Lepisosteus oculatus: one gene and its partners. The protein of the gene in region 1 purifies or fractionates together with the protein of each later gene. This does not show direct contact. Links are inferred from orthologs where the notes say so. Each region holds a gene or a part of one and is shown on either strand. Other genes may lie near its edges. The genes, in order: smarca1, cecr2 and pole3.

Region 1 (3,753 bases):
TATTCCATTTTCATATAGGGATATCATCCAGTTCAGGCCTCGAATTTGGTAATCCCTCAGTGCTCCATTTTTAACATCTGGAAAACAAAATATTTGAAATAACAATAAAATCTGAGCATTTAGCAAAGCATTACAATTAGAAATGTCTTAATACAAAATCTATTACTGGATACGCCTGCTAAATATAGCCATTAAAATGGTAGCTTTTTTATCTGTAAGCATCATGAAATTGAATGTATTGGCCAAGCTATAAAAGATCATGACAGCTCAAGTAAAATTACTTAATTCAATATTTTTTTGTGCCTTACAAGATGGTGATTCTTCAAATCTGACCAGGACGTTTGATGTCTTTCGGCTCTCTGACAGCAACTCCTCATCCTCTTCTTGCTCAGTGCGTCTATGACGATTACTGAAATTTACACACACAAAAAAAAACCATTTAATATTTAATATATATGTATTCCCAGGCAATTTAAAGTGAAAAATAAAACAACATCAAATATTGGTTTAATGGGAAGAACTGTATTTCATTACCATTTAAATAATACAGACGGAGACCACAGTGGTACACTGCACTCATACACACAGTGGAATCGTGATACAAGTAAGCACTGAAATATAAATGCAGATGGTACTAATGTCTGTATTAAGTGGTACAAATTATTTCAAATAACAATCTTATTGATGACTTACTCCCCCACGGAGAGCAGATTTTGTTTTTCATCCTTCTTCATGCGAGGTCTCCCCAGCTTCACTTTCAGTGGAGATGTAGGAGACTTCTGTGCTGCTGGCTGAATAAAATGTGCAAAGAGCTCTGTCTGCTTCAATAAGAATTCAAATCTGTTAGCCCGATCTGTTTTCTGAAGGAAAAAGAGAGAAGAAAAAAATACTTTAAATCCTGTGTGTAGTTTGTAATATCTGAAATATACCTGAAGTATATTTCTGCATGTGTTTCTTATTTGCACGTAAGTTAAAGTTTACTTGTTTACTATTACCAGTTTAAAACAAAAGCAGTGCATTAAACCAAAATTTGAAACTTACAATGAGAGAGGAACCATTAATCTTTTCTTTTGAACATTTCACCAACACAAGTGAAATATGTTCTGTACATGTTCAGTAGAGTTCCCATGTCTCATCATTTATTATTGTAATCTTAGAAACTAAATCTGAATAAATTACAATGCAATTGCAATTTTGATCTATAACAGCTAACATCAAATCTAGAATTGAAATACATGTTTCTTTTGAATGGTATTATAGAACAGGTCACACAATTAAGGGTGAAAATTGTTAATAATATATCAGACAGCAAAATAATAATGCATGATACAGTATGTGCATTGAATTACTTACCCTCTTTTCCTCATATTCAGGGTCAACGTCTGCCTCTACTTTTGTTACCAGTTTGGGGGGAGGTTTGAGTTGAAAAGGTGGATCCTCTTTCTAAAGGCACAGAGTACATCAAATGATAAATGTAATGATTACTGTATGTAAATGACATTTTGTCACTTTGACTATTTTAGTTGCTTTGTTTGTGTATTGGATATAAGTTTTAAAATTTAAAATAAACTGCACATCTTTCAATATAAATGAAGTAATGTACTATTAATTTAGTAATAATACCCTAAGTATGAGTAGCATGGTTAGATGGTGAAGTTATTTATACCAAAACTGTATATGGACCTATATGTTTATGAATAATAGTATTATTTTATCAATGTATATTATATTAATTGGAGTTTTTTAGAATAGTAAAATAAGTCTCAGTTTTTCTCTGTATACAGCATACAGTATATGGCTTTTTCATGTTTCCTAAGTTTATTAAATAAATATAGTTGTCTCATTCTGTAATCAAAACATCCGAAACAGCATATTTTGTGTGTCTGAATTACCATTGGGGGCATTCTTCAGTACATTATTACATTAGTGAATTTTGACTGTTATGAAAGGGGAAACTTGCTATTAAGTCTGTATTTATAATGTACAGAACAATTACTTAAAACTGGACTGTGTCTGTTAATGTAACAGGTATAATAATTATACAACACAACACCTATTCGGTTTCCTATTCGACAGCAGGCTTTTTCTCTCGCAGTGCCATTTTACTGTATTCTTGAGGTACTGTATTAGGTACCAGCTTCTCTGCAAGACGCAGTGAGTGTCGTTTTCAATTTTCACGCCCACCTGTATTTCTTTTGATCGGTACCTGGGCTACTATACTAACTGTAGGGGTTAGGTGGTCAGTCATGCTTTGTTTTAATATAATAGGTTGTTTTTGTATCTTCTAAAATACAGACTGACATCTGTCTGCAGATGTTGCGTGCTTCCTTCCCGCCATATTCCCCAAATGCAAAACGAAGCAAAAAAAAAAAACAGCAAACTTCGGTTCTGCAATGTCTACTTCTTTTACACAGAAGCTTACTGAAAAATACTGCACATTATCCTTCCCTCACCTCCTCCGAATCAGGTTCAGGCTCCCGGGATGTTGACGGAATCTCTTCGTCTGACATTGCTCCTATACTTGTTTAATCTTGACTCAATTTTGATTTTTACTGTAAGTTAAAATAATAAAATACGTCACCATCTGACTGTACATTTCGTAGCATCCGCCCCCTTATACATATAATTAAATCTCGCGGAGTTATGGCAACGTAACACCGCGAGAAGTTAGTCCGGTTTTGACTAGAAAATTCGGACAGAAAGGAAATATATTTCCAGACGTTGAGTTGGATTTCGATTCTAAAGGCTTAGCCTAGTATTTTAAAAAATGCACACACATAATGTCATCTATTTTAAAACACAGAACTGGTGTTGATACTGTACTTGTGATCTTTCAAATGAGCTTGCGCCCTGTGTGATTTTACTTTTTAAGCGCTAGTTATTTGTATTTTATTTCTTGGAGTCGTAGTTGTTTTGATACAACAAATCTTAATACAATATATCTAAAGAGCTATGCCAAGATGTGTCAAATGCCAAAATAGTAAACGTAGTATACATATTAGTGGAAAGGGAGAAACTGAAGCTGTTACCGAATTAATGTGAGAATATTCGGTTTGTTCAATAAATATGTCCTACTGGAAGAACGAAGTAGCAGTGATCCGTACCACTGCAGTGTCGAGATATTTTGAATTTAAAGCAGGAGTATAATAAAAAAAACTCGTACACAACGACGTTTAATCAGTTAAGAATTATTGAAAAAATAACAGGTCCTTTAACATACTCTCGCCCAGTCTCATTAATATATTTTATTAATATTGACATAGAATTAGCACTTAATGCTAATAATTTTTGTTTTTGTTGTATTCAATGTGTGTTAGATTCTTTTAGATTTGTATTAGCTCTGTTATTATACTATTGGATTATTTGACACCTTTGTAATGTTCTTGCAGTGATCATTGTACCGACATTTAAATAGTACTTGCATTTATTCCTGTAAATCGCCCTGGATAAGGTCATACGTCTATCGAATAATAATTTCACAGTTTTCTTAGCGCAGGAAAAATGTTAAACAGACCACTAGATGTCACAAAAGCCTAATGTATTGAAGTTAGAAATTTGAAATCTGCTGTAATCTATGCAGGTCTGAAGTTTAGTGAGAATCATTTATGTCACCTTTGCTTTAATCAAAACCTTAAGCAAATAGTGTACTGTAGTTGTCCAGACCACACTAAAACCTTAAGGCTTCTACTACTTACTATCTTTAGTTTCCTCACCATTTTTCATGAGCCATATACAGTACATCAGCTGCTCAGT
Region 2 (3,753 bases), on another chromosome or scaffold:
TGGTGACACTGTTCAATTCCATCCAGATTAATGACAGACGTGCACATTAATGCCGCTTATTGGAAATGATCGCAGGACAATACAACTCTTACACGTTGTGTTTTTGTTTGTTTTGCTGACCTCAATAATTATAACTGGTCAAGAAGTCGACTGTCGGGCATTACTTAGGAGAACTGACAATGTATAATTATTCAGAGAAACACGCCTCCTCGCGCATTACTCCACGTTGAACGAAGGAAAATCCACAAGAATCTCAACTATAACAGGTAGCCGCTTCGTACAATGCTAAGGTACAATGCCTTTATCATCGACAAACGTATGAGTTACCAAACCGTGTCCTACGTGTTGACAAGTGAACGCTCCTTCACTGGGAGGGGGGTCACATGACAGGACACCCCGCGACGAGGCCTGGGAGGGTCATCAAAGCGGACATAACGTCCCGCGACAGCGGAGACAACGACATTTTTACTCGCCCTCTGCACAAGTCCACTTGCCTTGTAATGGTTGCAGTGAACCCGGGGAACGGCCGATCTACAGCTGAACGTAACGTGACCTTGGATAGTCGGCGCTCCCGATCAGATTAAGATGTTCCTGATCGCCGGGGCTTCAGCTCCGGGTCTGCACAGTCAAGCCATGAGGCGCCGTCCCATTGCAAACGGCAAAATCGTCAGCTACCCCAGCTAACTAACCGCATCACCTTCTTTCGACCACCCTAAATTTATAGAGTCGTGTCATGCGTCACCTTGGATGAGCCTTGGGGAATTAGATTAAGACGTTCCTCTCATCGACATCGCAAAACCAGCAGTTTACAACAGCTGCGATAACACTCACGCAGCCAATTGGAAAAGGGAAATGAGCCCGACCGATATTCAACGGTCTCGCCAAGTTTTATTTCTCAGGTTGGGTTTGTTTTATAACATACGGAGGCATTACGCGCATCATTTTAGTGGGGGGGAAGGGGTAATCGACCTCAAAAATTCGTTTCTGACACCAAGCCTCCTCGGCAAGGGACCTTCAATCATCCACACAATGGGCGAAGCAGCAGAGAGAAAGCCAACTTCACTTGAGCTGAACAGCGTGTGGTGTTTTTCTCCCCTTCCCAATAACAAAGCGATGCTTTGGATTTGGAGAAGGAGGAGGAGGGGTGCTGATGCATGATGTTGACCTTCCTCGTTTTTTCCCCCAAATCTCAGATTTCCTCAGATCTTTCTGGGATCAAGCAACCGTTCTTAACTGGAAGCGTTTTGAACCCTAAACCTAAAATGCAGCTCGACTGCCTTTAAACTTCCTCCCCACTCGTACAGCTAGACGCGATGTAGCGTAACATTAACAGTCAGCCTCTCTACTTGCGGCGCTCGAAGTGTGATCGATTACAACAAAACATCTCACTACAAACACATACAAATGCACACCTTCTCAAATTCAACCCTCAGTTTTGAATCGGGGTGAACTTTAGGTAAGCTTCAAGCAGCATTATGGGCGAGTGAGAAAAACAAGCTCAGCAGGAAAAAGCCTCCTTTTGGAAACGAGATGCATTAATACCCTCACGCACCGTAAACAATGCTCTTAAATTGAGGTCAACTGACCATAAAACTTAAAGGACAGGTGAACTTGACTTTTTCCATAATAATAATGATGATAATGATGCAAGAAATTACAGTCACCTGGCACACATGATCATGCTCAACGAACAACAAGAAACTGAAGTCCGTCTGAAATAAAATCACAGTGTTTCGTTTAAAAAACCGTATGCGCGCAATTGATCCAACATAGTTTCATTTTGTTAGCAAAAATTACAAGTGCTACAATTTTTGGACTGGGGTCGCTTAGCACAGCGATGAAAAACCCATTTAGAATACGAAAACAAACGGACTTCTCACAATCCAACTTTATTTATCAAAACAAACCCACATTATCGCTGTTTAAAAAGACACGAATCAACCAGTAAAACATTTCTGTGTTCTGACGGAACCCATTATACCCTTGTAATCGAAAATCAATTTTGAGGTAAATGTGTTTTAAAAGGGGGATCAAAGAAAATGACCAAAGATCACAAAGAACTTAAACATCAGAACTTTTCATTCATGCATGGTAAAGGGAGGTGGCAACACGGATGGGTATAGTTAAAGTTTAAATCACGCAACCGGAAAACAAATGCACCATCTTAATGAATGAAATAAATCACTGCGCCCTTACCTCAATTTCAAAGTCTGGTAAATTGAAAGCGGTCCTGAATAAGGAGCAGAAATGAGCTATGGCAGGGACTTCCCACCACGAACGGATTTCTTCCACAGAAACTGTACATTCCTGGGACATTTTCCAAAGGTGCGAGGTATATATTATTTTACATCAGTGGGGGAAAAGGTGGCTTGCGATTTTTTTAAAAGTTTTCTTTTGCTTGGAAAAAAAAAACTTATCTTTAAAGAAACCAAAGTTGTTGTTGCATCAAGTCAGTTGCCATTGCAACCTGGAGAGTACTACAATCTGCTTCAATCTGAATTTCACAAGTAGGGAACAGATGGGGGGGAGCTACCATCTCAGTAGAGTAGGGGGAGTTGCCGTTAAACCCAGTGTGTCCTTGAGTGCAGTCAGCCTGGAGTTCTTATACAGTAGCATCTCCGCTGTGATCTACAACGAAATGTCCTCTTTCAAAAAAGCTTTGCTTGATTGTACCTCTTCGGTGTAGCGAGCTCCGCGTTGTTTTGTGAAACTTTTCCCCCCGACTCGGCTCTGTAGTCGAGGACCCAGTTAAAGGGAATGCTTGCAAGGGTCCCTGTGTGAGCTTGAAAGAAGCGCTCGTGCAGAGTGGGCACATGGAGGTATCCTGTAGCGTGGAGCATCCAGAGAGGGAGCGCAATCACATTATCTTAGTACACACTGCTGGGGGTGGGAAAGGGGGAGAAGCTTGGCGGACAATGATAAGCCGCGATGGCTGTTTTTTGTGTGGGGGGTGTAGCTACGGTGTGGACCGGTTTAACACCCACAACATAAACCTTTCTAGCCTGTCTCCCCCTATTAAACAATAACACATAACATTAAGTGCAAAGAAAATTTCAAAGTTAAAAGCAGAAGATTCGGTGTCGGTAAAGGAGCTGAGAGATTTTTGTTTTGTGTTGAGCAGTGTTGCCTGTAGTATGCCGAGTCGCACACAGTATTTTAGTAGACAAAGGAGGTCAGTCATTTCTTAGATTGCTGTCAAAACCTTATATGAGCACAGAGAACGTGAAGTATTTCTATATTTGCGTGTCTGAGTTTAGACTTAAATACTTACCATTTTGACAGTTCACAGCACTTTGTAAATTTAACGTCCTTAAAGAATTGTATTATAGAAAGATGTGTTGTCGATTCAAATTCAAATCTGTGATATTAATGAATAAAAAACTCGTTAAATGCTGTTGTAGATATTTGATGCAAGAGTCGGATTTAACTTTGCCTCTCTTGCGCTCGCCTAAATTCATACCAATGTTTTGACCTGACATCTTTAATATTTATTAGTGTTTTTACGGCGCTCAGCTTTTTCGTGATTTACAGCGCCTCCTGGCGTAAAAGAGGTAGACATGTACATAACGTTCCACTAGAAAAACCCAACACTATTATGATAATCTCTTAACTGTTAAATTCAGTTTTTTGTATAAATTGAATTCACAATGAAGTGCCACGAAAAACTTTACCAGTCCTTGTTTTGCGTGTAAGGACAGACAATGCAGTACATATCACTAACCCTGTATGTCGAATATACACGATTTACTGAGT
Region 3 (3,753 bases), on another chromosome or scaffold:
CCCTGTTGAGAACGGTCAATAACGCAACTATGGTTGAGCTTTTATGGGGCAGGAGCCGACTGCATGGTTGATGGAGCATATCTAAATGGAACACGTGGTCCAATAGCCACCAGGTTAATTGGCAAGAGCCTGGGTTTTAAAGTAGACTCTACGGCCCATTATAACTTATCCTCAATCTGGCTCTTTCTCAAGTTACTTAAGCTTCACAGCAGTCGGTCCTGACAGCAGTGGAGGGGGAGGAGGCGGGGGGTGGGGTGGGAAGAGAGATTTAGTTTTCCACCTCCTCCTCCTCTCCCTCCTGCTCCTCCTCCATGCGCTCCTCCTCTTCCTCTTCGTTCTCCTCCTCCCGGCTCTTGTCGGGGTCCTCGCCATCGTTCCTCTTCTCCTTGTCTTTGCGCTTCTGCTCCGAGGCCTCCTTCTTCCCCCGCTGGCCCTTCTTGTACGCTGCGGAGCAGAGAGACCCCAGGACCGTGAGACCGGTGAACGGGCGACCGTTTAACTCTGCGCAGTAAATGCATTTTCCCCTGTCACTGTGACGACTTCCATCCGGGGACACGGATCACTCGCTTTAGCGCCTACTGTATAAAAAGCAGAATATAGCCTGTGCTTGACTAGCAATTCAATCGAAGGGAAAATCATCCTTTGTTAGCCAGGCGTTGATGAAGTTACAATCGCAAAACCATGACGTTTGTGTGCAAGCTGGCCAAGGAAAAAGAGATGCCAGTCTATGGGATTCCTGCAGAGACTGAATCTCTCCCAGATCTCTTTGATTTATTCTGCGGTGTCGGTTGTGTCGTTGGTCTCTCGCCCTCTGCCCCTTCACCCGCATGCACTCCTCTCCTAGTCCACCCCCTCCTTCTCACCTTCCAACGACTCCTTCAGTGGCTGGAGGAAGCGCTCAAACTCCATCTCCTCCATGGCCGCCAGCACGTCGCCCGCGTTCAGAGTCTTCCTCTTGGCTTTCATGGCAAAGTTGTTTGCACTGGGTAGCATTAATCACAGGGAGACAGGAAAAAGGGCTGTTAGGGTCCTGCAGTCTCTCCGGTGAGGGATCGACAAGTCGAGACGGGTCTTTGTATTAATTCATCGCATATACAACCTGCTTCTCCTTTTTGTTCCAACGAAGACCTTCACTTTAAAAAACAAGTGCACCATTCTCCCCTCCTTTGTTTTGAACAGTGAGCACATGGCACAAATCAGTGTTTTTTTTCCTTAAGTAATTTTTAAATTAAGTAAAATATAACTATTTTCCCCCTGCTTTTTGCTTGTCAAAAGATCTAAGATCTAACTTAATTGTCCATCCCAACCGGTGGGAATTTGTCTTTGATATGGCCACACAAAACAACACTTAACATAGACATTAAAGACAAATAGACCTAGACATGCAACAGTACGTATACTGTTCATGCATCTTGCTCTGCCCCTGTTACACTACCATTACAATAATCGAAAAGCTTCATACAGGGACTGGTCACTTCTGCGGGTCGGATCCAGTGCCCTGGAAATGCTGTGCGCGCCATCCTCACCATGATGTGGCATACAGGACAAAGACACTGGCAGCCTGCGAGATGGCTCTCCTGGCCTCTTTGGATATGTTCACTCCATCGGGGAGCTGCAGGGGAAAAAAAAAAGGTGCTCAAGCAAGGTAAGGGGTTTCATTAGTTAAGATCGCCTTTTTTTTTACACTTTATACTATTGAACAGGGATGCACCTGTCTATTCCTGTAAAAACCAGCACAGTTCCCTAAGTCTACTGTTCAACTGTCTACCTTGATTACTCGGTGTATTTTACAGCTCTGTATTATGTAGAGGCTCATTCTGCTGCTCTACATTCAGAAAGCTGCGTCTCGCCCCTAGACCGATTTTTCCCCACCTTTCCTTTCCGGCTGTTGCCATCTGTACAGGTGGTTAGTGGCTGTTAACTGATTTAAGACATTCGTCTCTGATTCATTTGCGCCCAAATCCTGTGGGAACACCCCCAGATATGCAAAAAAAACCCACCAACTAGCAGAGAAAGTTAAGAGAACACCTGACAGTTGTTCCTTTAAATTTTCGTTTTACTTCGGAAGGGCACCCTTTTTGAAAATCTGTATACCAGCGATTCCAGGCTGTTGAGATAAAAAGGAAAGCCCAGCAACCGAGCCAATAACCTCGCACAGTGTCATACCGCTTCCTTGATAATACGCGTTATCACAGCGTTGGGCAAATTCAGGTCCTCTGGCCGCTCAGCCATTCCGCCTCTGTTCCCGAAAGACGAGCCGTTATCTGCGGACGCAAACCCAGTCAGATTAGATCACACGGGCCGGCGGTGGCATCGGTTTGGACACCCCGGGAGCAGGAACGGGTGAAGGCGGCCTGACGTCTCGTCAGGGCCGCCCGGGGTGGCCAAGCACAACGCGCCCACAGCCCTAAGAAGGGTAACCGGGTTTCTCACGATTTAACTACAGTACAGACGACCTTTACCTCCAGGTCCCGGTGAGGTACGTTTGTTCCCACGTTAATTCCGATCCAAGTGTTTTAACAGCGGGGTTCGGTCGAAACTTTTACTACAGTTTTAAAATCAACAGCCCGCGTGAATCTGAATCTGACAAACCACGAACGCCCTTTCACCTTTGACCTCCCACCCCTTGGCGACGTCAATAACAGTAATAAAACTTCTAGCGGACACATGGAAAAATAGTCATATGTATTCTTACTATTTTGTTTGCCCACATAGTCACCACAACACAGATAAAACAGCAGAATGTATTTAGAATTTATTTTTATTGTATGACCGAGCGTGAAACCCACAATGCACTCTGGCTGTCGGGGCAACTTGCGCATGTTCAGTAAAGAAAGCGTCTTGTTGCCAGGCAACAAGATTACTAGCTGACTACTTGCCCGGCTTGAGGTAAAACAAATACATTAACTGTTTAAAAATACATAACTTTGTATGCTGTTGAGTTTGCCTTGTTTAATGTCGTTTCTGGGTCTATATGTGGAGGCATTAGTTGATAGTTGTAAATGGGAAGAATTCAAAACAAGAATATTTTACAAGCACGCTTGAACTCGTGAAGAGAAAACCAGCTCAGATCATTCTCTGTCCTTTTTTTTTTTTAATTTGGAAGTAAACGCATCAGATAAGAGTTTATTAAAACAGTCGTGGCCTGCCCTTGCACTCTAAAACCACGGTTCTGTAGATTTCGCGAATTAAAGTTCTGGAATAATTAAAAGGGTTCTGACGAAACAAACAACCTCCGTGCGCTTAGTGTTTCAAAAACCTAGACTTGAGAAACAATGCACGCTGGTGTCCACCAGCAGTAAGGATGCCTGCCGCTTTAAGTTCTGATATTTCGATCCTAGCCCTGTTGATTTGAAGACCGCAATGGAGGACCCGGGCGGGCTGATTCTGGACGAGACGCATTGTTTCCTGGCGCTGTGTCAGCATCCCTGCTGCTGGGAAGCAGAGAGGCGAGTTTATAGAGGCTTCCCCAGGTACACCAAGGCGAGGACTGCACCCACGGTCTCACAAGAAGGTACTTTACGAGAATCCATCCTTTTCCCCTCACGATAACACTTACAAAGAAGAGAAATCCATTTGGCCCAGCTCATCTGGCTCATTGGTTTTTCAGGAGCTAAGCGATCCAAGTATCCTTTAAGAAAGACGCCAGTGTATCACCTTCACCAGCCTGGCCTGAGCTTGTCCCAGACTCCTGCAACGCTTTGTGTAACACAAAGTGCCCATTGAGTTTGATTTGAAGGGTTAAAAGAACTG

What was found.
Region 2: the proteins of smarca1 (region 1) and cecr2 purify together in Homo sapiens (affinity purification with mass spectrometry; 3 studies listed by BioGRID and IntAct, with this or other methods). This does not show direct contact. The link is inferred for Lepisosteus oculatus from reciprocal best matches to the Homo sapiens genes SMARCA1 and CECR2.
Region 3: the proteins of smarca1 (region 1) and pole3 purify together in Homo sapiens (affinity purification with mass spectrometry; 3 studies listed by BioGRID and IntAct, with this or other methods). This does not show direct contact. The link is inferred for Lepisosteus oculatus from reciprocal best matches to the Homo sapiens genes SMARCA1 and POLE3.

What each region holds. Positions count from the first base shown.
Region 1 is NC_090703.1:42,610,609-42,614,361, forward strand, and holds the start of smarca1 (probable global transcription activator SNF2L1), read right to left. Parts: upstream 2,618-3,753; 5' UTR 2,511-2,617; coding exon 2,454-2,510; intron 1,444-2,453; coding exon 1,354-1,443; intron 861-1,353; coding exon 694-860; intron 410-693; coding exon 309-409; intron 78-308; coding exon 1-77.
Region 2 is NC_090702.1:8,898,218-8,901,970, reverse strand, and holds the start of cecr2 (chromatin remodeling regulator CECR2), read right to left. Parts: upstream 2,614-3,753; 5' UTR 2,317-2,613; coding exon 2,197-2,316; intron 1-2,196. UniProt on the Homo sapiens protein: Regulatory subunit of the ATP-dependent CERF-1 and CERF-5 ISWI chromatin remodeling complexes, which form ordered nucleosome arrays on chromatin and facilitate access to DNA during DNA-templated processes such as DNA replication, transcription, and repair.
Region 3 is NC_090719.1:3,256,218-3,259,970, reverse strand, and holds the start of pole3 (DNA polymerase epsilon subunit 3), read right to left. Parts: upstream 2,605-3,753; 5' UTR 2,463-2,604; intron 2,265-2,462; 5' UTR 2,233-2,264; coding exon 2,167-2,232; intron 1,613-2,166; coding exon 1,527-1,612; intron 983-1,526; coding exon 864-982; intron 445-863; coding exon 269-444; 3' UTR 1-268. Other genes in the region: uncharacterized protein C9orf43 homolog, read left to right, coding at 3,364-3,514. UniProt on the Homo sapiens protein: Accessory component of the DNA polymerase epsilon complex. Participates in DNA repair and in chromosomal DNA replication.